Drosophila melanogaster: one gene and its partners. The protein of the gene in region 2 interacts with the protein of the main gene of each other region in a pairwise test. Each region holds a gene or a part of one and is shown on either strand. Other genes may lie near its edges. The genes, in order: Xrcc2, CG42390 and CG14207.

Region 1 (5,451 bases), on a different chromosome or scaffold from region 2:
CAGATAATTATTTATTGAAATTACATTTAAATTAATGATTGTATTTAATAATAATTTTTACTAATTTACCGGCTTTTAAGCACTACCAAAATCAATCGGCGGATAACATTAAAAAGCCCCCCCCCCCCCCCTCCTCTCCATTTTAATTGCCATTACCATACACCATCATATTGCTTCTTCTTAAAATGCTAAGAAAACGATAAAAAAGGAAAACGAAAACGAAAAAAAAAACTGCTAAACAAAACCACCTTACTTATGTATAGCTTTTAGAAATCATTAGTTTTAAGTATAATTCTGGTAGGGTTGGCCTTCTTCAAAAACAAAAAAAGAACATAGTGAAGGTTTCAACACAATTTTAAAGAACTGTTGTATTTTTTTTAATTAAGATAATATTACTGATATATAATATTAAATATATTACTGAATGGAATAAGTCATAAAAGCGAACTTTCCTTCTAGATCTATATGGACTATAATTTTCTTTGTTCGAGCGGGTAAAACTAGGAAGATATCACGGAAATTAAAGTATATTTGAGTTCGTAACTATCTAGATAATGTAGAAGTTATACCTTTTTTTTAACTTAATTAGTTGCACAGATTACTTTCTCACTCATAGGCCTTGAAATTGTCTAATAAAGGAGTAATAACAAATATAATTTCTAATCCCTAAAAGGAAGATATTATTAAAGTTAAATTGTTAAACTATATACAATTTTCTTAACCTATCAACTCTATATACAATTTAATCAACTCTATATACTCTATATACAATCGTTTACTTCTTTCAGTTCCTAGCATCATTTTGTCCTAAGATTAATAATAATAATTTAACTATGTTAACTGGGCTGAGTCAGCAATGCCTCAGTAATTTCCTTGCTAGTATTTGTATCCAAATGAATTCCATTGCTAAACGACAGCGGCAGTCCATTCAAGAGGATCTGGTTTTGAATCTTCTGCATCCTGACATGGTACTTTATGCCAGCCTCGGGCAAGTTTTCGCCAAAACGATTCTCCAGAAAGGCAGACTCCACCGTGTACATGCCGCAGACGATGGCATCCTTGCAGAGCTTCTCCAGGCGCGCCTGGAGCAATCGATAGTGGCGATACATGGACATTCTCTTGGCAATCTTAGGCTCATCTAGCCAGTAGAATTCGCTGAGTGTGTCCATGGCAACCAATTGTATGCCAGGATCATTGATGATCGCGTAGCGGGCGTCGATTAGCGACGTGGAAACATCATCGTTTGCAAAACAGTTGAGGAATCGCACGCGACTCATGCACTCGCCCGCAATCTCGGCCAGCTGCTCCTCCGTGGGGCATTTCGCAGCAATCACTTCGCCGACAGAGTACGCCTTCAGCTCCATCCTAATGCTCTTGGCCAGAGATTCACGGTTGATCTTGTGACTCAGATTGATCAGCAGGACGCTCCACTGGCGACCACCGAATTTGTAGGGCACCAGGCAGTGGGCCACCAACTGTTGGAGCACCAGGCTTTTGCCACTGTTCCCTGGGCCGGAGATCTCCACCAGCGTATCGGCTTCAAAGCCGCAGGAGCCAAAAACGGCAAAGTGGAGTTGATGTGAGCCCATTAGGTTAAATTTACAAATTTGCGCCCTGGCATAAACAAAGGAGTTATCGATTGTGGCCTTTATCGATGACAGCCACCTAAAGTTGAATTGCGCAGCGCTGAAACATATTTAACACTAAATGGAACTAGGGCATATCGAATAGTTAAACAACAGCAGCAAGCGTTTCGTTATAACTTTCAGTTAGCATTTAGACTTATTTGCGCACATACATAAAAAAAATCCATTTTCACCACCCTGTGTTATCGCCCAGCCGCCTATCGCTGCTGGTGCCTAATTTAGCCCTAACGCCTGGGCGATGATAGAAAAAACGGCATAACGCGTTCTTACCAGTTGAACATCGTTTTCTACCATTTTTTGTTTACGTTTGCACCGCGAATATTCGTGCACCTGCACTCGCAATTTGCTCAAAGCCAGCGGCGCTTTTTCGCCGGCAAGTTGCTCCGCACCGAGTTAAAGCATCACTCAGGCGGACGAGCTGGTGTACTCCAGTTAGCTTCTCGCCCCAGCACTTGTAATTGTCATTATCGGCGGGGCGCCTTTGATCATTCAGCGGCATCTCGAATCCGAACCAAAAGTGGTTCTTTTGTTCTCTTTCTGCTTTGTGGCCACCTTTCCGCGCTCCCCGCTTACCGCTTCCCGTCTCCCGCGCCGTGCTTTTTCTTTCTGGCCACCTAGACACGTCAACAGATTTGGAACTTTGTAACTGGAATCTGGAACTGGGCATCGGAATCGGAATTAGGGAGAGATGCGCGTGAGCACCATCCGCAGCGGTCGGATCTGCCGGCTGGCATTGTGCCTGCTGGTACTGCTGCCGCTGCTGTATCTGCTGGCCAACTGGAGCGATCACCACAAGCGCGTCCAGGAGGCGTATCACACGCGCTTCGGCGGACCCAAGTTCGCCCACCAGCGATTGGAGGGCAGGCCCAGGGAGGTGCCCAAGCTGGTCGATGGTAAGTGGCTACAGGATCGAGGATAGCAATATCAGCCCTTGACCAGGATAAAGAATAGGATTGTGTCACCCATAACGTGAGCCTTGCCATTAAGATTCCTCACTCACGTATTATACAATTTTATTATGGAGGACTATCATCAGAACTAAGGATACAGAGTAGTTACCATATCATTGTTGAAAAGACCGAGTTGTTTGCTTACTGCAAACCCAGCTAAAGAATTCAGTAATCTTTGCTTTATATCACTTAAAACCGGCTTTTGCTCGTTTTAACCAATTAATTACTTGCCATGTATGCTACATAGTATTCAAAGAAGTCTTTATTACCACGTTTAGCGTGAGTAAAGTATGGTTGGAGGTTAAAGGATAACCTTTTCCAACCCATATCGTACAGTCTATTCCCAGTCTAACTTACGAGCCCATTTCAAATATTTATCGCATTCTATTATACATTCTCCAAAACCGGCTTTGTAATGGCCCTAACCAACCAACTATCAAATTCGGATAGAGTGAGAAAATAACCTCATAAAAGTCATTTTTACTGCACAGCCACCAAAACTAGTGTGTCTTTAGTCTTTTGTATCAAATGCTAATTCTAGTCGTAGAATATTCCATATGACCATAAGATGGTTAGATGATGGCATATTATTGGTCTGTAATACCCCGCCTTTATGCATAAGTCTGAAATTATAACCCACACCTCCTGCAAGCGCATACAGTGAGTGGCTGGGCCAATATTTAAACAATTGCTGTAAGCTTGCATAGGTAATTTGCACGCGCCACACTCACAATTTGTTTTTGCGTTTTTCAGGCCTTGGCAACTTTGAGCCGAAAGATGTGAAGCCACGTAGCGGGCCTGGCGAGAATGGCGAGGCCCACAGCCTGTCGCCGGACAAGAAGCACATGTCGGACGCCTCCGAGATGGAGTACGGCATGAACATCGCCTGCTCCGATGAGATATCGATGCACCGATCGGTGCGGGACACGCGGCTCGAAGAGTGCCGCCACTGGGACTACCCCTTCGATCTGCCGCGCACGAGCGTCATCATTGTCTTCCACAACGAGGGCTTCTCGGTGCTGATGCGCACCGTGCACTCGGTCATCGATCGTTCGCCCACGCACATGCTGCACGAGATCATCCTGGTGGATGACTTCTCCGACAAGGAGAACCTGCGCAGCCAGCTGGACGAGTATGTGCTGCAGTTCAAGGGGCTGGTCAAGGTCATCAGGAACAAGGAGCGCGAAGGTCTCATCCGAACGAGATCCAGGGGAGCCATGGAGGCTACAGGTGCGTATAGCCCATATCTCATTTATGTATATTGTTATGTGTTCTTGCATAACTTGCATAACTCATGACGGCTTATCGCATAGTTAAAAGAACGTGTTGTATGGAAAACAATAGTTTTATCTTGAGATGTTTGCATCAAACGCTGAAACGCCAGCTATTTGGAATTTGAATTGAAGATAACTTCACGTTCCGCTTTGTGGCAATGATAAACCTTTAAACTGCAGACTCATTGAATTTCTTTTACATTTTCTCAGCATAATAGAATTGCCTATCATTGCAATTGAAGCAAGATTATCGTCGATTTCAAACAAGCCTTTTAGCATAAACAGTATGCATAGAAATTTACAAATTACTATTTTAAAGCATCATCCTTTAAATCATCATATTAACCCACAACCTTATAAATATCCACACAAACACTAAACTGCTTTGCATCCCGCAGGTGAGGTGATCGTCTTCTTGGACGCCCATTGCGAGGTAAACACCAACTGGCTGCCGCCCTTGCTGGCGCCCATCTACCGGGATCGCACTGTGATGACAGTGCCCATTATCGATGGCATTGACCACAAGAACTTTGAGTACCGGCCGGTTTATGGCACGGACAACCACTTCCGCGGCATCTTCGAATGGGGCATGCTGTACAAGGAGAACGAGGTGCCACGTCGCGAGCAGCGCCGCCGTGCTCACAACTCGGAACCCTATCGCAGTCCCACGCACGCCGGCGGCCTGTTCGCCATCAATAGGGAGTACTTCCTGGAGCTGGGCGCCTACGATCCGGGTCTGCTGGTCTGGGGCGGCGAGAACTTCGAATTGAGCTTCAAGATCTGGCAGTGTGGCGGCAGCATCGAGTGGGTGCCATGCTCTCGCGTGGGTCACGTCTATCGCGGCTTTATGCCCTACAATTTCGGCAAACTGGCTAGCAAGAAGAAGGGTCCATTGATCACGATCAACTACAAGCGCGTCATCGAGACGTGGTTCGACGACACGCACAAGGAGTACTTCTATACGCGCGAGCCGCTTGCCCGCTACCTGGACATGGGCGACATTAGCGAGCAACTGGCGCTGAAGAAGCGACTGAACTGCAAGAGCTTCCAGTGGTTCATGGACCACATCGCCTACGATGTGTACGACAAGTTCCCGGGTCTGCCGGCCAACCTGCACTGGGGCGAGCTGCGCTCGGTGGCCTCCGACGGATGCCTGGACTCGATGGGCCACCAGCCGCCGGCCATCATGGGCCTCACATACTGCCATGGAGGCGGAAATAATCAACTGGTTCGGCTCAATGCCGCTGGCCAGTTGGGCGTCGGCGAGCGCTGCGTGGAGGCCGATCGGCAGGGCATCAAACTGGCCGTGTGTCGTCTGGGGACAGTCGACGGTCCTTGGCAGTACAACGAGCACACGAAGCACCTGATGCATCGCGTCCACAAGAAATGCATGGCCCTGCATCCGGCCACGCAGCAATTGTCATTGGGTCACTGCGATGTTAACGATAGCTACCAGCAGTGGTGGTTCAAGGAGATACGCCCACGCTGGTAAGTCCAGCATGTTTGGGAGGAGCAGCAGGAGGAGGAGGATCAAGGAATGGATCACAAGGGTTTCAGCCGGGGCAACGGGGGCGATATTTT
Region 2 (6,864 bases):
TCAGGTCGTGTTTAACTTTTATTTCTCAATTGACAGCTGCCACTTTTAATCTGGATTAATTTAATGGCATTTCATCAGTTTAAGTGATATTGAATGCTTGAATGATTAATCATAAAGTGTTCTTGGTATTCAGAAGTTTATTTTTTTATGTAGAACTTACGTTGTAATTTGTTCAAATTGGAAAGAAAACATATTTTTGTTCGTTTTGATTACAAAGTGTTTAGTATACATCCTTTTTAATGTATGAGTTTTTTGAATAACATTAATATGCTTATTATGGTTAAGTTTTTTCTTAGATATCTTTCTAAACGAAATCGTCATCTTCGCTTGATCTTTCTCTCATATTGCTTGTGTGTTGGTTACTTTTCTGGAGAAGTATCTCAACAATAAATACCAGTGTTGCGATACTTTCGCCAATGAACAGAAGATGCCATATCCAGCTCAAATGCTGAATGGACAAAGGAACTGCTCCCTCTTTAATCCTGCGAGGAGAGGTAACATTGTATAAAAGTTTAAGGACCTTAGGAAGTTGTTCAGTCCAAGAATCGGGAATACCCGTTTGTGGCATGTAGGTGATATACCTTGACAGCATCCATTTTAAGACCGAATTATTTCCCAGAACATACATACGTGGCAGATTCCAGGCAATGGTCAAACTTTCAGATTCGCAAAAAACCCTTTCATCAAAAGACTTTTGGACCGTATTCAACGATTTCCATGTAGTTGTGTACATTACATAGCTGTAGCTATCGTTAAAATTCCAAATCATTCTGAGAGCTTCTTTCTTTTGCAGAATTAAATAGTGGGGTAAAACGTGATCAAAGAACTCTGGATCGATATGCTTTTCGATGAAAGAGTGAGTATATTTATCCATAATAGTTATCAATCCGCTATCTCTCAACTCTTTGAAATTTCTAACCTGAGGGTTTTGAGCTGGTTTCGTTAGCAGTGCACTTAATGTGCAGCTAACAAAATTGCTATAGACAAGACCGAAAACGCTTATGACCAAAAAGAGTTGTCGCAGTGAAATGCTCGATCTGCGAAACTCCGGAAATGGCAGACCTAAAATGCCTCGAAAGGCTCGAGGATTTAGCAGTTGATTTAAGCTGGTCAGACGAACTTCTCGACCGGATATCCTGTGGGTTAGCCAAAGTATCAGGGTTTCTATCAAAACGAAAACCGCGTAGGCAATCAATAGGCAACCTATCAATTTCAGTACACCCAATTTGTGAAGTACATCCATAAAGCGCCATTTCGGACTACAGGGCACTATGACAATCAATGAGCAGGCGGTGTTGGGACTTACGAATGCCATCTGAGTGGGAAAATCTTTGGTTATGAAAAGTGGTCCTAACTGTATATCGAAATGGTCTGATTTAGACTCATTTTGGTCATATAATTTCAAACTCAAGTTATACTTAACGGCGAACTGAACAATTTCATAATCTTTGAGTTCGGATAAGGGAATTGGGCCTGATGGCGACCATACTTTAAAACGAATGTTCGAAACCACACTCTCCTTCAGGATGGCCGTTTTACCTTGGAAACTTAACCCACAGCCAAAAAAACTGGTTCGCCTTATGTTGGATATATTTGTTATTTGGCGAAATCGTGGAGTCGGATATGGATTCAATTGATGAAGTGATGGTACTGCATCGACATCTTCGTTCATTGTCACGATTATTATCTGAGCAAAATTATACCTATCGGCTTGCTGAGAGATGTAGTCCATCAACATCTTCGTGGGTTCCCTTTCGCTCCACAGTATGATCCTCTCCTGCCTCATGTTGTCCATAGCGTTGGCCAGACTTTTAAGCAGCCCATAGTCTGAATTTTCGCCCATGCAAGCTAATATAACTGCCTGGTCATTGAAGTAGCCACTAATCCGGATGGAACCCATTTCATTGGTCCTCAGGATAGGACTTCCACGTGGATTCCATTGGTCAAGATGGCAGTATTCATCCCGACTATGCTTGATTACCATTATTGTTCGAATTTCTCGACCCTCCTCTATAACATTGATGAGTTCTCTAAGGAACTTTAGCTGCGGGTTCTTGCTTCCTTTGGTCAGCGATAGATATATCAGTGGTAAAACTAATAATTTGAACACTTTTGACATTTTTAGTTAGCCTTGGGTTAGTTTAAGCAGCTCTAGAAAGTTGGAACTGAACTGAATATCCAGGAAACAACTTACCTTCCTAGAAACCAATCATAAGATAGCCAGCGACGACACCTGTCAAATGTTGTGCACAGCAATTTTAGCAATTAATTTAATTGCTATTCAATAGTTTGGAAACTCTATCCTCCTAGTATTTAGTAGATTTCGAACAACTCGAATAGGTTAATCCCCGAAAGGCATCGAAATAGCTTTCTGTTGTGTAAAGAAATAATCAAACTCAAATGAAGAAAACAATGAAATCGGTTAGCTTTAATTTTCCGGCATCTACATCATGATATTATTGCACCAATCCAGTTGCTGATCCGGAAAATATTTGCCTTTGCCACTGGGAATGTTTTTCCACATTTATGGGTCAACTGATGCTGCCATTCCCGCTCCATTTGTTTGTGCAACAATTGAGATACGATTCGGTTAACCGATTCCATTTGGCCAACTGATCGACGTCGAGTGGACCGGCATCTAGAATCTATCGATAGCGTCGGCCGAGCGACAATTTTCCTCGGCGGCAGCAGCACTTTTCCTCGCCGAAAAAGATCAGATACTTTTGCAGTCGTGTACCGTTTGCTGAACCGTTTGGAACGCGAGCGCCGTGAGACGGCATTGTGAAAAGTGAAAAATGAATTTTCCGCCCTGGGCAGTCGATGCGCTTGGAACGCCCGAGCATGTGCCATTGCCTGTCAGCGTTTAACAAGTGTTTTTCCCCAACTTTTCCCCCTACACAACATCTTGTGGGCGTGGGCCTAGCGGAAATGAGAAAATTTAATTTTAACAATTATTAATTGTCATTCAGTGTCAAATCAAATTGTGCCCTGTGTGTGTTTCGTGCTAATTGCGTAAATAATCTCCTTAAATAATTACTTTATATGACTCAAGTTAGCTGTAGCTTACACAAGTACAGCGGAAATTGTTGAATTTGTTGAGTTGTAACAAAAAAAAAAATACCTTCCAGTAAGTTGTTTTCATACCCTTAAACTGAAATTAAACAGAATTCATAGCAAAAACTGACTATAAAACTCATACCCATTTCTGCAGAATATCTAACAATATGACCTAATGTTGTAAATATGTATAGAATATATATATTTAAATAAATAGCTAGTGAAAGCAATGCTTTAAGTTGATTTTGTGTGCCATCACTGCAGATACGCATTACATATTTGTTATTGTTTGGGCTTCTGCTAAGATACACTCGATTAACTCGCTCAACACCTCAAGGCGTGCCTGTCGCAATCAATTTCTGTCGCCTGTCGCCTGCATTAATAGTTTCACTAATTTTGAAATTTATTAGATCCCCCCCCTCGCCAAAGTCTTACATATCTGTTTTATGTGTAGTAAACAGTTTTTATCACCTCCACGGGCAGTGGAACGGAAAAGTCGGGCAGTTCAGAGAGCATACTGTTTGGAAGATCATCATCAGAGGAGCAGCTAAACAGACGGGCAGGCTGAAAATCCAAAAGGCTAGTAAAAATATTAACCCGTCCCTGGGCGACGGAAAATCTATGGCCAGAATGTTTTAAATCCGCTGCCTGATCTGGCATCAGTCAATGTCAGTTGGCCCAGTGCCAGGTCGAGTGTGTGGGCGGCGACAAACAAACAATTGCCGGGCTAAAGAAATGTAAATAAATGTGGAGTATGGGGAATGTGCTCGAAGGTGTTGCATCTAAAGGCAAAGTAACTTAAATCATGACCACATATGAAACGGAGAGTACTTCACTTTCCATATTCTTCTTCCGACCAAGATGCGTGTCATGCTCGTCTAGAAAAATCATTTTCAAGTGGATTTTGTATTCAGTGTTTTGGTGCGAACCATATTCATATTGCTGGCAATGTACAGTGCGTTTCATAAAGCATTTAGCATACATGGAATATCTAAATAATAAAAAATATATGCGTCAAAAAGCGCATATTCTAAACAAATAGTTTTGAAATGTGTTTCTTTAATTTCATAATCATCCAGCATATAAAAAATAAGTATCCATATAGACCCGAAACGCACTGTACATATCAAAACTCTTAATATGTATTGCCATATATTTCTCGATTGCTAACACATGTTCAAACGACGACAAAGCATGCCAAATATTTATGGCATATTTTTTGTTTGTGGCATTTTTTGTGTCATATTACTTTAATTTCTATTAATTTTTACCTCCTCCGTCGCGATAGAGACGCTCGCCAGAAACATAAATATGTTAACACATTTTATTTTAAAAGAATTCTTTAATGGATTTTTATTGACTGAGCTTTTTGGGCCTATGGGTTGGGGCATTGGCATTGGCCAAGTGCAAAATTTATTATACATTTATCATTTATGTATCTTTTATTTTTGCGTTTCTGTTTTGCTTCACGTTAAAAATGTTTATAATTTTGTTTGCTTTGGATTTCTGAACTTGTGCAACAATTGGCAAGAAATATAAAATGTAAATTCAACAATGATATAAAGTCTATGCCATCTGGTTGAAGGCTGTAAACTTGAACGACTTATGAAGTGGGTCAGTGTTTTTTCTAACAAAAAAACAAAAAAAAAAAAAAATAGAGGAAATAAGTATATTTATTGATTTGGAGTGATTTTGATCAGCCATATAGGAATTTCCATTTCGTACCCATTATACTCGACTGCATCATTTCCGTTTCTGAATTTCGTGCCAAAAGTAAGAGCGTCATGCACTTGACCAGACCAGATCTTTCCAAATCCCCCTGCCAGCACCTTTTCACAATTCTAAAAATGTTGATCATTTGGAGGCGTTTGGTTTTTATCTATATACATTTAAAAAAAAATATCGGAATTATGTGCAAACTGCGCAGCTGTCTTTAAATGCAAATTGTTCCACGAAACATTAATTTTACTGTCGGCTTTCCTGGAATAAATCTCATCCATTTTTTTAATTAAAAATTGAGCTAAGCATGCTTTTTATTCTGATTGTCTTCAAATTTGTTTAACTTTTAATGAATTTTGACCCATATTTCAAGTACTTTATTACTAAAAAGCTAAAAACATTTAATTACTCATTAAAGGTCATAGAAAAATCAATTAATTTGTATATCCAAACTGGATTATCTATAAATCTTCTGAAACATCAATTACAGTGATCTGGCGCCGGATTTTCATTTCAATTCCAAAGTGACGTCAATGAGAGCCCTACGAGCGAAATTTTTCGAATAGATATTTTTAGTTTTATTCCGCCGATTTCGTTGCTTTGGAAAGTTGGCGGGTCTGTGTTTTATTTTATTGCTGCCTATAATTGGTTCGTTTATGTGCGGAATGGAAGAGAGCGTCCTGAACTTGAAATAGGGTAATGAAACATGGTAAACGAGAGGGGAACGGGAAGAAGGAAGTTGCACCAGGATTATGATCTTGTGCTCGGTGCATCGAAATTAGTTTATTTTTGGCCTGCTGAGTGCAATTTGAACTTTGCTTTCAGCGGAAAGACTAATGACTGGGGAGCGTCGCTGACTCATGTGTACATATATCTCTAAAAGGGCACTGGAAAAAATATAAAAATAGTAAAGAAAAATGTTTAGGGGTTGACGACTTCTTTGGTTTACTTGGCATACTTTTAGGAGTTTACTTAAAAGTACAAACTTATTTCAGTTTAAATCAGCATATTTCTTAAAACATAAGTTATGCCAACAGATTAATACTCAGTATTAAGATGATTTTAAAACTTAATAAAACTATGAATGAAATCATTTTAATAACCCAATTAGATGAATAGGTTTCACTTTTCCATTGTGCTTATTTGAATGCCTTAGGAAATTGTTGTTGCTCATCGAATGACACATAATGACGCATTACTTGGACTATAGAGTAAATGGCCCCCACTTTCTATTCATCAATTAATATGCATAAGCAATTATCAAGTTTACCAAAGGCGGTATACCCCTGCGAGCGTGTGTTCTTCCTTCTGTAAAATAATTAAAACAAATTATGCCATGTGCCTACATGGCACTTAGAAAAATATATTATGATTATTTATCATACCGAAAAAAAAAATGTTTTTTTAGTACTGCTAAATCTAATTAATCTTTAAAACAATTTTTTCTAATTACACTTGTATATTTTGTCTTTGCTTGATATTGTTTTATTCCTAATTTTTTTGAAGTGTACCAGTACTCACACGCGCGCAATGTTGTTACTCATATTTGTCCAGCATTATTGTCATCATCGTGATTATCCTAATAATCATGATGGCGATCATTATGGCTGTAGAAGTCGCATCGCTTGGATTGCCGACTGAGCGACAGTCGCAGTTTATCCGCCGACCAAGTCGAGTCAGTGAATCCGCCAAATCATATATATATATATACATATATATATATATATATGTATGTGATGCTGAGTGCGTGCGGTTAAACTAATTGACGACAATTAAACCGCCCATCCACTAGCCGCCAAAACTAATATAAAATTGTGAAAATATTTTCAACAGGTTGAAAGCATTTAAAATACAACAATATTCGAAATAATTGCAACAAAGCAACAACGATTTGTTTATTAAACGAAAAGCACACAAACGAGCAAAGCCCCAACGAAGGAGAATAAATGGATATAAAAATAAATTAATAGAAATTAGCAGAGGCGCAGGGTAAATCATTAAGAGAAAGAGCGAAATATGTTCAATTTGCTGCGAAGATCGCGTCGTGGAAAAGCGCAGCACAAGATCATCGATGAGGAAGATGGAGAT
Region 3 (9,742 bases), on a different chromosome or scaffold from region 2:
CTAGAATGGAATTGAATTACAGCTACAGCTTTGTGGGTGTAATTTAATTGAGCAACTCACGGCTCTGGTGCTAAACAAAAATGATTTAAGCCGTGAACGGCTTACGGTTTCGAACAATAAATAGCCGACTGTCGTTTTTGCGCTTCATAAAGTTTAATTTGTGTATCTGCCCGCCTATAATTAAATAGTGCCCGCACAGGCGCTGCACTCGTACGTATACGTAATACGCGTTTACACTTATGTACATAAATATGTACATACATGTCCAACAATCCAACAATCCGCATGGGCGAAAGCATACTTTGTTTGAATACCACGACGGCTGACATATATTCCGATGCTGTCGTCAAGCAGAAGCCATCCACTGGCCGCCAGTGGATGAGTCTGCCCACGCAGGAGTAGATCGCTATTTGGTCGAGCTGAAAAATTAGTGAGCGCTCATCGTCGACCAAAAATTCCATGCTAAATCATCGCGAGTAAATTTTGATTGATTTCTGACTGCGAGGGGGTGGCTAGGTGGCTGCTGGCTCGCTGGCTAGCTATACATTTCGTTTTATTTTGTTTTTGTTTTTTTCGATTTGGAATGGACTATGAGTTTAAGTGGGATGACATGCCGGCAAATGACTAGAGCACTTATATATATACACTTATATATATATATATAAATATATGTATATACACTTGCTCTGCTTTAGCTTCGTCGAGAATTCTCTGGTGACGTGGGGAAAATTTGTTTTCCCAATTTCTTGTCGATCTTCACGAGATTTGTACATTCGTATGTACATATGTATGTACAATATGTACGTTCTTTCAGTTGGCTTGGCAAAACAATAATACACATACTGCACACTCATGTTTCTAGATGATTCCTACAATATTTATTAGATCCACCTAGATCATTGGAATTTATGAAATCAAACAAAATTGATTTGAATGATTTGAAAAGGCACAAAATACAATTGAATTAAGACTGAAACGTGCACGAATGTGCAAACTTGGAATCCTCTTTTCAAAAATTAATTTTGTTTGAATACCGATATGTATGCTTTGTGGGGACACTGGGGACTTCAAGGTCGAGATTATTGATGAAAATGAGTTTGTTGTTTGGACAGGGGGCATTAGCCATTAGCCATTGCGAGCATGTGGGCGCTGTGAAAAATACATATGTACATATGTACACATGTATGTATGGATGTACAATGAAAACACCTCAGCCGTTAAGCCACGATGATTGTCGTTTTATTTTCGAAATTCGTGATTAAGTCTATAATTATTTTGATGGCACAACTGCCGTTGTCCCCGATGGAATTTCGAGCAGTAAAACGGTCACGGATTCAAAATATTGCATTTTAATATGTCGCACTTGCACTTAAAAAAAAAAAACAAAAGAATGTAAGTTATGTGCAGGCAATAACAGCTTTAAAAGATATCAAATTTCCAGCTAATGAGTTTTCTTATGGATGAGAGATGCAATTGTTAAGTTGAAGAAAAATCTAGTTTGTCTAGCTAAATATGCATATGGTTCATAAAACTTATGAATATATATCGCACATTTTTTCTGCAGTTGCAACTTTGCAATCCGGCTCTCATTAATTTCAATTTAAATTTTAATTCCCCTGGCCGACGCTCCCTAAAAGGAATTGAATCGAATCGAATGGACTCGACTTGGCTCGATTCCCGATTCTCGACTCCGACCGCCAATGTCACGCGGCTGAGTCATTTCGCATTTGTTTACAAACAAACCGATGCGGCGGAGTGGGTAGTACCATGGATATGGCCAAGCACACTGGCAGAAAACGACACAGATACTAAGATACTATAATGCCTCTCTGTTAGATTAGGAAACATATCCTATTATAGCTAACAAGCTTACAACAGTACAATTTCCAATCTTAGCTCAGCATAGAGATATTTAAATTTACATATGTATATATGACATATATTTTTCTGCGTGTATTTGGGCCGCCAACGTTCTCCACCCACCCGGTCTAATATTGGGATTTATCGATTCGCACAATGGGCGGAATTGGCTTTTTGATTTAAGGTCTTAATGATGATGAGCTCTGGGTGTAAGTAACCCCGCGAATATGGACAAGATATCGTGGGCCATCACGCCATAGATGTTCTATTTTAGGACGATGGATAATGCCAACCCACCGCAGGACGGAAAATGCACTTTCCACCAATGTGCAACTCTCTCTCTCTCTCTCTCTCTTTCTCTCTATACCGAAGATCATTTCCCAAAACGGTAGGAAGCGTTGATCGGTTAACCGGTTAACTCAACACGACTCATACTCACACTTTCCACTCGCACTCACAGCACACAAATGCTGAACCAGATGCAATTGGAATCACAGTTCGAGGAACTCACTTCCATGACTGAATGGCTCCCACGCGAGAAGTTTTAAGCATACTTATCAAGATCAAGTTGATCATCAACTAATTAATTGTTGCTAATTGAACACTTGTTCCTAGAAAGTTTTTTAGGAGCTTTGAAATGTGTTATGTTATTTCATTGCATTTATGAATTACTAGCTTATTAACGGAAAATAAATCATGGCTTCCTTGTTTTCGGTCATTTTGTATAAACCAAATTTGTCTTACAACTATTGTTTCACTTCTAAATGTGTTCCCCGTGCGTCATTATTTCCATAAAATACAAAATCAATACAGCGAATATAGTGTTTTGGGTGGTCCGCTAACGATTAGTGGTTAAAGTACGCTTAAACAATTCCCTTTGCGGATAGAAGTTCTTTTTGATCCAATGGCAATAGAAACATAATCAAATCCGCAAATCGATGACTAAATGCGGCTTCATCGGTCTATCGATATCGCCACACTGCTGCGCAGCGGCAATCGAAGTACAATCGGTACGAAAGCTATAAAAGCAAAGACACACTGTGAATGCAAAACAGTTCAGAAATTGAAACGCGGCTATCTGTGCGATACGTCCAACCGAAATCACACACTTGAACGTCTTGAGTTTCGAATACATATAGAAAACCCATCGAGTTCCCTTTTTTTTTGGTTGCTCCGTCGATTAGCAAGTGAACAAGCTCGAAAGCGCGTTGAGCAGAACAGAACAGAACAGAGAATAATAGAACGGTATACAGTATATACAGTATATACGGTATACAGTGTACAGCGAAGAGATTGGAGATTCCATCTAGCGAAGCAACCACCAAATAAACCACCACAAACAGCACAACAATGGCCGAGGCTAACAAGAGGAATATCCCCATCAAGCTGGGCGACTTCAGCGTCATCGACACGGAGTTCAGCAACATCCGCGAGCGCTTCGACTCCGAGATGCGCAAAATGGAGGAGGAGATGGCCAAGTTCCGTCACGAGCTGATGAACCGCGAGGCGAACTTCTTCGAGTCCACCAGGTAAGCGTAATAGTGATACAAGTGGGATCCCAACACTGGGATAATTCCACATAGCCTGATTCTACCGGGTGTACTGCGATGGAACCCAATCCCGAATCGCTCGACTCATCGCCTCGTTGTTGGCTCCTCTAAATATAGGCGCACATCTTGCCACATCGCCCACTGGTCTGGAGCTCTTCACCCACAGATTCTCCTACGTATGTACATATGTACATACGTGCATACATACATATGTATGTACTAAACAGTGGGCCTCATAGGAGGCGAGCGGCCCGCTTCAATTCTCGCCCCAGATACACTATGTGTATTTCTTTGCCGTCGCTCTGGGGGAGGATGAGTCACCAGTTCTAAATTCTCCGCCGCTGTCTCCGGCCAAGAAACACATGTGTATCTGCTGCCCGCCACCCGCTAGTAAATCCCCCTCCCCCGCCCCGGCACATGGCTAGCCAGCGTCTTGTGCCCTCCCCTTTCGCTCGATCTCGAGTCCCATACGGTTTATGCAACCGTTATGTAGGGCATAACGGAATTTTTCGAACTTTGAGAATCACCTGTGCCAAGATATTCCGTTATATGTGTGTGTGTGTGTGGGTTTCTAGCTGAGCAGAAAAATGTAATTGTTGATAATGAGATAAGATATTAAAATCTGGTCTCTGCGAGCAAAATTAAATATTTGAAAACGCAAAGCATTGAAACGATCGGTGGCACACATGAATAATGTTCATTAAATCTCTAACTATTTCCATTTGTAGTTACTTGTTTTTAAAGCATACATAAGTGACAAACGCGTTTACCTAGCAATCTATTTCCATTTGCAAGTCAATTAAGTGATTCGGCGGTATTTTAACACCCTCGCATATTCATACGAATCAGAGAGAGGGAGAGAGAGAAATTCCAGTTGAATGTTACGAGTGGCATTTTCAATGAACATAGGTTTATTGCCCAAATCAGCGATTAATAAACAAACAATGCCCCAAAGGCGAATGGCAAATACTATGTCGCCGACGCCGTCGCGGTTGCGCGTCTCGTTAGCCTTTCCATTGGAGTTGCGTTGCGTGGGCGCCAGTTTTGGTTGCTATTGGGACGACCTCGCCGTATGACGCAATCGAACCGATGGACTCTATTTGTTGTTGCCTTCGCCATGGTCGCCACTGCATTTGCATGGCCACAACAGAAATGTTACGACTCCACCCCCCTCCCCCCCACCAGACTTCCGTCTGTTTCAGAACTTGGTAGCGCTCCTCTCCACAACTTTGCCCATTCAACGTCAAAGTTGGCAGTGAAAGGAAATTAACCCAAATTGGTATTGTGCCCTCCTGGCTGCAAATTTAATTGGAAATGAAGGGAAACTCACAGTGGCGGCATAAGTTGTGCGCCAGGGCTTGCTTCGGGCGATTAGCCTAATAATCGCCACAGATTGGCCACGTAGTTTAGTAGCTTAGTAGTAGTATTGGATATATACTTGCCAAATAATTCAATCATTCGCCCATAACTGCCCACTGTCCGCAACCTTTGACCTAAGCGGCTTGGCTGTGGCTGTGGCGTGTTGTCAATTGAAGCGCTGCGTGATATCTGAATGACTCAGCACGGAATAAACGCACGCCCCATATACAGGGCAATAAATCCATACAGGTAGGTGTATCTATGCCCTACCGAAGTTGCCACTTGAAGCAATAGTTTATGCTTTTAACTGGATACATTCCCAACAATGTATATTTTATTATTATGGCATAAGAAAAACATGTTTACAAACATGCAATTCCTGCGTAGCTGCCAAAAGCTGTTCAGGCCATTTGCACATTTTAAATAAAACTTTCTTGAACATATGTATGTATATACATACATATGTGTATGTATGTACGTACTGTCACATACTAACGATAGATTGTGTGTAGTGCAGGGCCTCATTTAACCAACTTGGCCATAAGCAAAGACCGCACATCAATGCTGGCGCCTTCAGATATGAACAATGTGCGGATTCAGATGGATTTGGATGCGGTTCCCAGTAAAATAGATTGGTGCGATTATCTCATGCAAATGCATGGAAATTGTATTGGCCAGATCGGATCGGATGGGATGGGATGGCTACCAAACATAGGCAATGCCAACGGTTTGCCTAATTTATAGACTCATTGTGTGTGCGCACAGTTTAAACAAATAAGTGCGCTAGGATCGTACATACATACATACATATGCACATATTTAACCAGCAAATAGATCTGTGCGAAAAGCTTTCGCACACACGGACAGTTTTCAGTTGCGATGAGCACACGCTGCGGCGATTTAGTTGCCAATATTGTTGGCTGGATGCTGATAATTCAAATGAGCAGCGAACTGCGATGATATCATGTCAATTTTTAGCTATTGCGCTGCGCTTCGACTCGATGCTATTCAATTCGATTTCAATCGATGACAAAACGCCGATCGTCGTCGATAATCGATATTTTAATTCGACATTTGTTCACACACACACGCACACACGCGTACACCGCAAACAACTAAAGAGAGCCATTTTGTTTGCGCTTGTTCTGGTTTTTTGGCCGCCTCTCGCGCCCGTGTTTATTTTCGTTCTTCTTTGGTTTCCTTTCGTTTGGCTTTTCAATAACGAAAAAATATGCATGACATCATTGTCATCAGATGCCAGCGAGATATTGTAGTCGCACCACACACACACAACTCACACACATGTAAAAACGTGGGCTGGCCGGAGAGGGTGGGAGTGAGAGCGGCTGCCAGAGTGGGAGGGCAGGTGCCTCTTCATGCTGTCCAAAGAAACTTTGGCCAGGCGGCTAACGGTTATTGGTACTTATCATTAGCGCGCTATTGATTTCTCTCTTCGAGGGGCGATCAACCTCGCAAAGCACATTGCAAGGTCGCCAATAAGCCCACGCACGTTCACGTTTCGGCTCCGATTGATAAGCTTTCTCTGCCTCTGCTCAGAATTTGCGGAGTGCCAATTGATGGCCGCTTATCAACGACTCTCGCTCGCATGCACACACACACAGATACACACATACATTTTGGCTTCATCGCCGACACGCACAGCGGCTTAACGGTCAATCAAATCCCGTAAGCTAAGAATGCAAATTAAGGTGAACCATAAAAAATATTTAAAAAAAAACGACTTACCTATCAATTGATGTGAGAGTGAAGTGAAGAATACAATATTATTTAAAATGAAATCACAAAATTTTAATAAGTGTAGATTTACTAATTTGAACTAAAAATAAAAATTATTGTGAAAAAGCAGTGCGACAAAATGTAATACAAAGTGAACAATTATGGACCAATGAATTATTTCCTGGGTAAATATGTAAATATTTTATGCATACTTTCCTCTATTGTAGGTAATATACATATTCTTTTTTTTTAGATGCTATGCTTGAAACACTTGGATCTTAATAGATAAACTTGCATTCTAAAGGAAATTGGGGACTGGAAGTGCGGAAAACAAAGGAGTTATCATTAATATATGTACATATGCATAAGAAACATGTACCAAAAATGATTAAATATTAATTACAAGAAAACATATGAATGGCTTGAAATTTTCATTGATCATTGTTAAAAATTCCAGAACTTTAATATCGAGTCAAGGCTGTACCTTTATAAAATAGTTAAAAAATTGCTCACCCTTGTACGATAATGTGTAGTTATCTTTTTGTCTAACTCATTATAAACAATTTCTATCTATTTTTCTCTTTCTTGCCGCTTGGAAATATTAAACAACCGCAATAATTTCCACATAATAATAATCTCCTCTCCTCTCTCTTAAAACAAAAGCTCTACTAAAAAAACAACAACTACCAGGTACAATAACGTAGAAAGTTTACAACCTAAACTTTTATTTTCTGTTTATCCTCAATGTTTTTTTCATTCACTCAACCCCTTATTGTTTGGTAACTAATGTATTGGTTTAATGTTATTGCAATCCACACAGACTAAACTAGAAACTCGTTACCAGATGCATCGCATGTTAATCGCCAAATATACACTATAACATTTATTTATAAACAATTTTGAGCCCGGTATAGACGCAAATACATAACTAGAAATGCATACAGTTCGTTTAAAACTAAAAGATAAAATTATAAAAGTTGTAAGTATAGGCAGTTTTTCATAATAGAAAACCGTTTTGATGCGATCCATACATACATATGTACATACATAGATACATATGTATGCATACAATTTCAAGGAAGCAAGGAATAGTTTTATTTGTAGTCTAGATACATGAAGCCTTAATTCTCAATTCCCTTATGGGTAGTTCCTTAAAATAGAAATTATTACAGACATATGGGGAGATTTATGTTTCGAGGGTGACAGCTGCTGCCCCCAGATCCGTACACATGTACATACATACATACGTACATCGCTTTCAAGCGGAAGCCAGATCTATTATTAGACAGGCGTCGAGCATCGCGGCTTCATTTAAGTTGGGTTCGTTACGTCCGGATCAGTTTCATCCCGGAGAAGCATCAGCATGGAGGCCTTTACGCGCACACTGCAAAATACCTTTCGCAGCACTAGGACCACCAGAACCACTACTACAACAACCACAAACTCCTCCACCAGGTTCCTACCTCACCTACGCAACCCTAACACCTTTGGTTTTATTTCGAGTCTACTTGTTCTTAAGTTTCGCTTCAACACTCAACTGCAATACTCATGTACAATATGTTCGTCTCAACTTATTTGCAGCTCAACGACAAACTCGGCGCTGCCATCCCGAATCCCAAAGCAACAGAACTACGTCTCCGACATTAGCTCACCCTTGATCCAGGTAAGCAATGCAAGGAATCTACTCTTGGTTGCCAAAGGATAACACTTATATATCCCCCTTTGCAGGATGAGGGCGATAACAAAGTGCTGAAGCTGCGTTTCGATGTCAGCCAGTATGCGCCCGAGGAAATTGTTGTGAAAACCGTCGACCAGAAGCTATTGGTAAGTCTCTGCTCAGGATGGTTATGTTTTGCAGAGTTTATCTAACATGGATATCTGATTCCTTTCGACTAGGTGCACGCCAAGCACGAGGAGAAGTCGGACACAAAGAGCGTGTACAGGGAGTACAATCGGGAGTTCCTGCTGCCCAAGGGCGTCAATCCCGAGTCCATCCGCTCGTCCCTCAGCAAGGACGGAGTCCTGACCGTGGACGCCCCCCTGCCAGCACTCACCGCCGGCGAGACACTGATTCCCATTGCGCACAAGTGAAGGCCAGCCCAGTTGTCCAGTTGTCCAGCTATCCAGTCACCATGGTCCCAAGCCGGTTGAGGAGCAATAGGCGCAGGAGGAGCAGGAGGAGTGCGAGCTGCTGCCGATCAGATTAAATCCATACACACATTGAGTTTAATCCAATCCTATCTAAATGATTAATTTTTTTGGTTCTGACTTAAAGCTAAACTATGTTACTGACGTACTACTCATTAACTTAAATATAATTGAAATTATTATTAAATTTGATTAATTTAATTCATATTTATAATTTTCGCATTAAACGTAATCAATTTTGCCGTAGTTGCCCCCCATTGGTTTTCCTTTCCTTCCATCGAAAATAAATTAAATATATATCCAACTGAGCGGATTTTGATCAGCGGATTTGTGCATCATTGACTAATTAGCTGCTGCTGAGCCATTTTCACTTTTTAAACGCTGAATTGAAATGATGATGTGCCTTTCCCTTTAGGGAATCGTGAGGCTTGAATAAAGTATATGGATTTCATTTATATTTGACTGTGGTGAATGATATTATTTATGATACAATACAACTTTTCTTTGCAATCGAATATACGGGGATATTTTAAATGGGGAAAAAATCCATCATACGGGCTTGGCTTGACGTTTCAGTTCAACATTCAATATTTCTTTTCCACTTAAAGTTCGTTCCGAAAAACCTTCGACTCAGATAGCTTGTGTGCAACACAAGCTAACCAAATTGTTGACGCTGCTCAGGGATGTCTTCCCTGGAGACCGGTGGTCCTGTCTAGTTGCAATTAACCAAATTGTGAGGCGACATCTCGCCGGAAATACTCAAATCCGATTTTCTAAATCGCCTTTCAAAGCAAATACAAAACGAAAAGATGCCGCCGCAGCTAATGTCCCAGATGGAAAATGGCGGCGAGGAGGAAGGGTGTCGTTTGGAGTGCAAGGAAATGGATCCGCTGCGGCTAACCACGCTGATCCTGAGTGCGGATCCACGGTATCGCATCAAGCCAATGCAGCAAGTCGTGTCCGCCCTCGTTGGCGGTCTCATCACGACATTTGTGGGTGAGTTTGTCGGTTAGATTTGGTCACTCCGAGACGTAATCTAAACTACCTACTACACTCGGCCGTAGTGACGCCCTTGGAGGTGGTGAAAA

The links.
Region 1: the proteins of CG42390 (region 2) and Xrcc2 interact in a two-hybrid assay, tested with the Drosophila melanogaster proteins (one large-scale study listed by BioGRID).
Region 3: the proteins of CG42390 (region 2) and CG14207 interact in a two-hybrid assay, tested with the Drosophila melanogaster proteins (one large-scale study listed by BioGRID).

The regions. Positions count from the first base shown.
Region 1 is NC_004354.4:18,496,320-18,501,770, reverse strand, and holds Xrcc2 (X-ray repair cross complementing 2), read right to left. Parts: upstream 1,645-5,451; 5' UTR 1,590-1,644; coding exon 837-1,589; 3' UTR 513-836; downstream 1-512. Other genes in the region: Pgant7 (polypeptide N-Acetylgalactosaminyltransferase 7), read left to right, coding at 2,335-2,539, 3,350-3,826, 4,269-5,362.
Region 2 is NT_033777.3:22,117,336-22,124,199, forward strand, and holds the start of CG42390 (uncharacterized protein), read left to right. Parts: upstream 1-2,725; 5' UTR 2,726-3,127; intron 3,128-3,511; exon of another isoform or gene 3,512-3,636; intron 3,637-6,609; 5' UTR 6,610-6,792; coding exon 6,793-6,864. Other genes in the region: Ir94c (ionotropic receptor 94c), read right to left, coding at 305-2,119.
Region 3 is NC_004354.4:19,602,294-19,612,035, forward strand, and holds CG14207 (uncharacterized protein), read left to right. Parts: upstream 1-2,905; 5' UTR 2,906-3,210; coding exon 3,211-3,389; intron 3,390-7,169; coding exon 7,170-7,196; intron 7,197-7,844; exon of another isoform or gene 7,845-7,869; coding exon of another isoform or gene 7,870-7,961; intron 7,962-8,087; coding exon 8,088-8,169; intron 8,170-8,234; coding exon 8,235-8,330; intron 8,331-8,402; coding exon 8,403-8,597; 3' UTR 8,598-8,980; downstream 8,981-9,742. Other genes in the region: tyler, read left to right, coding at 9,464-9,650, 9,719-9,742.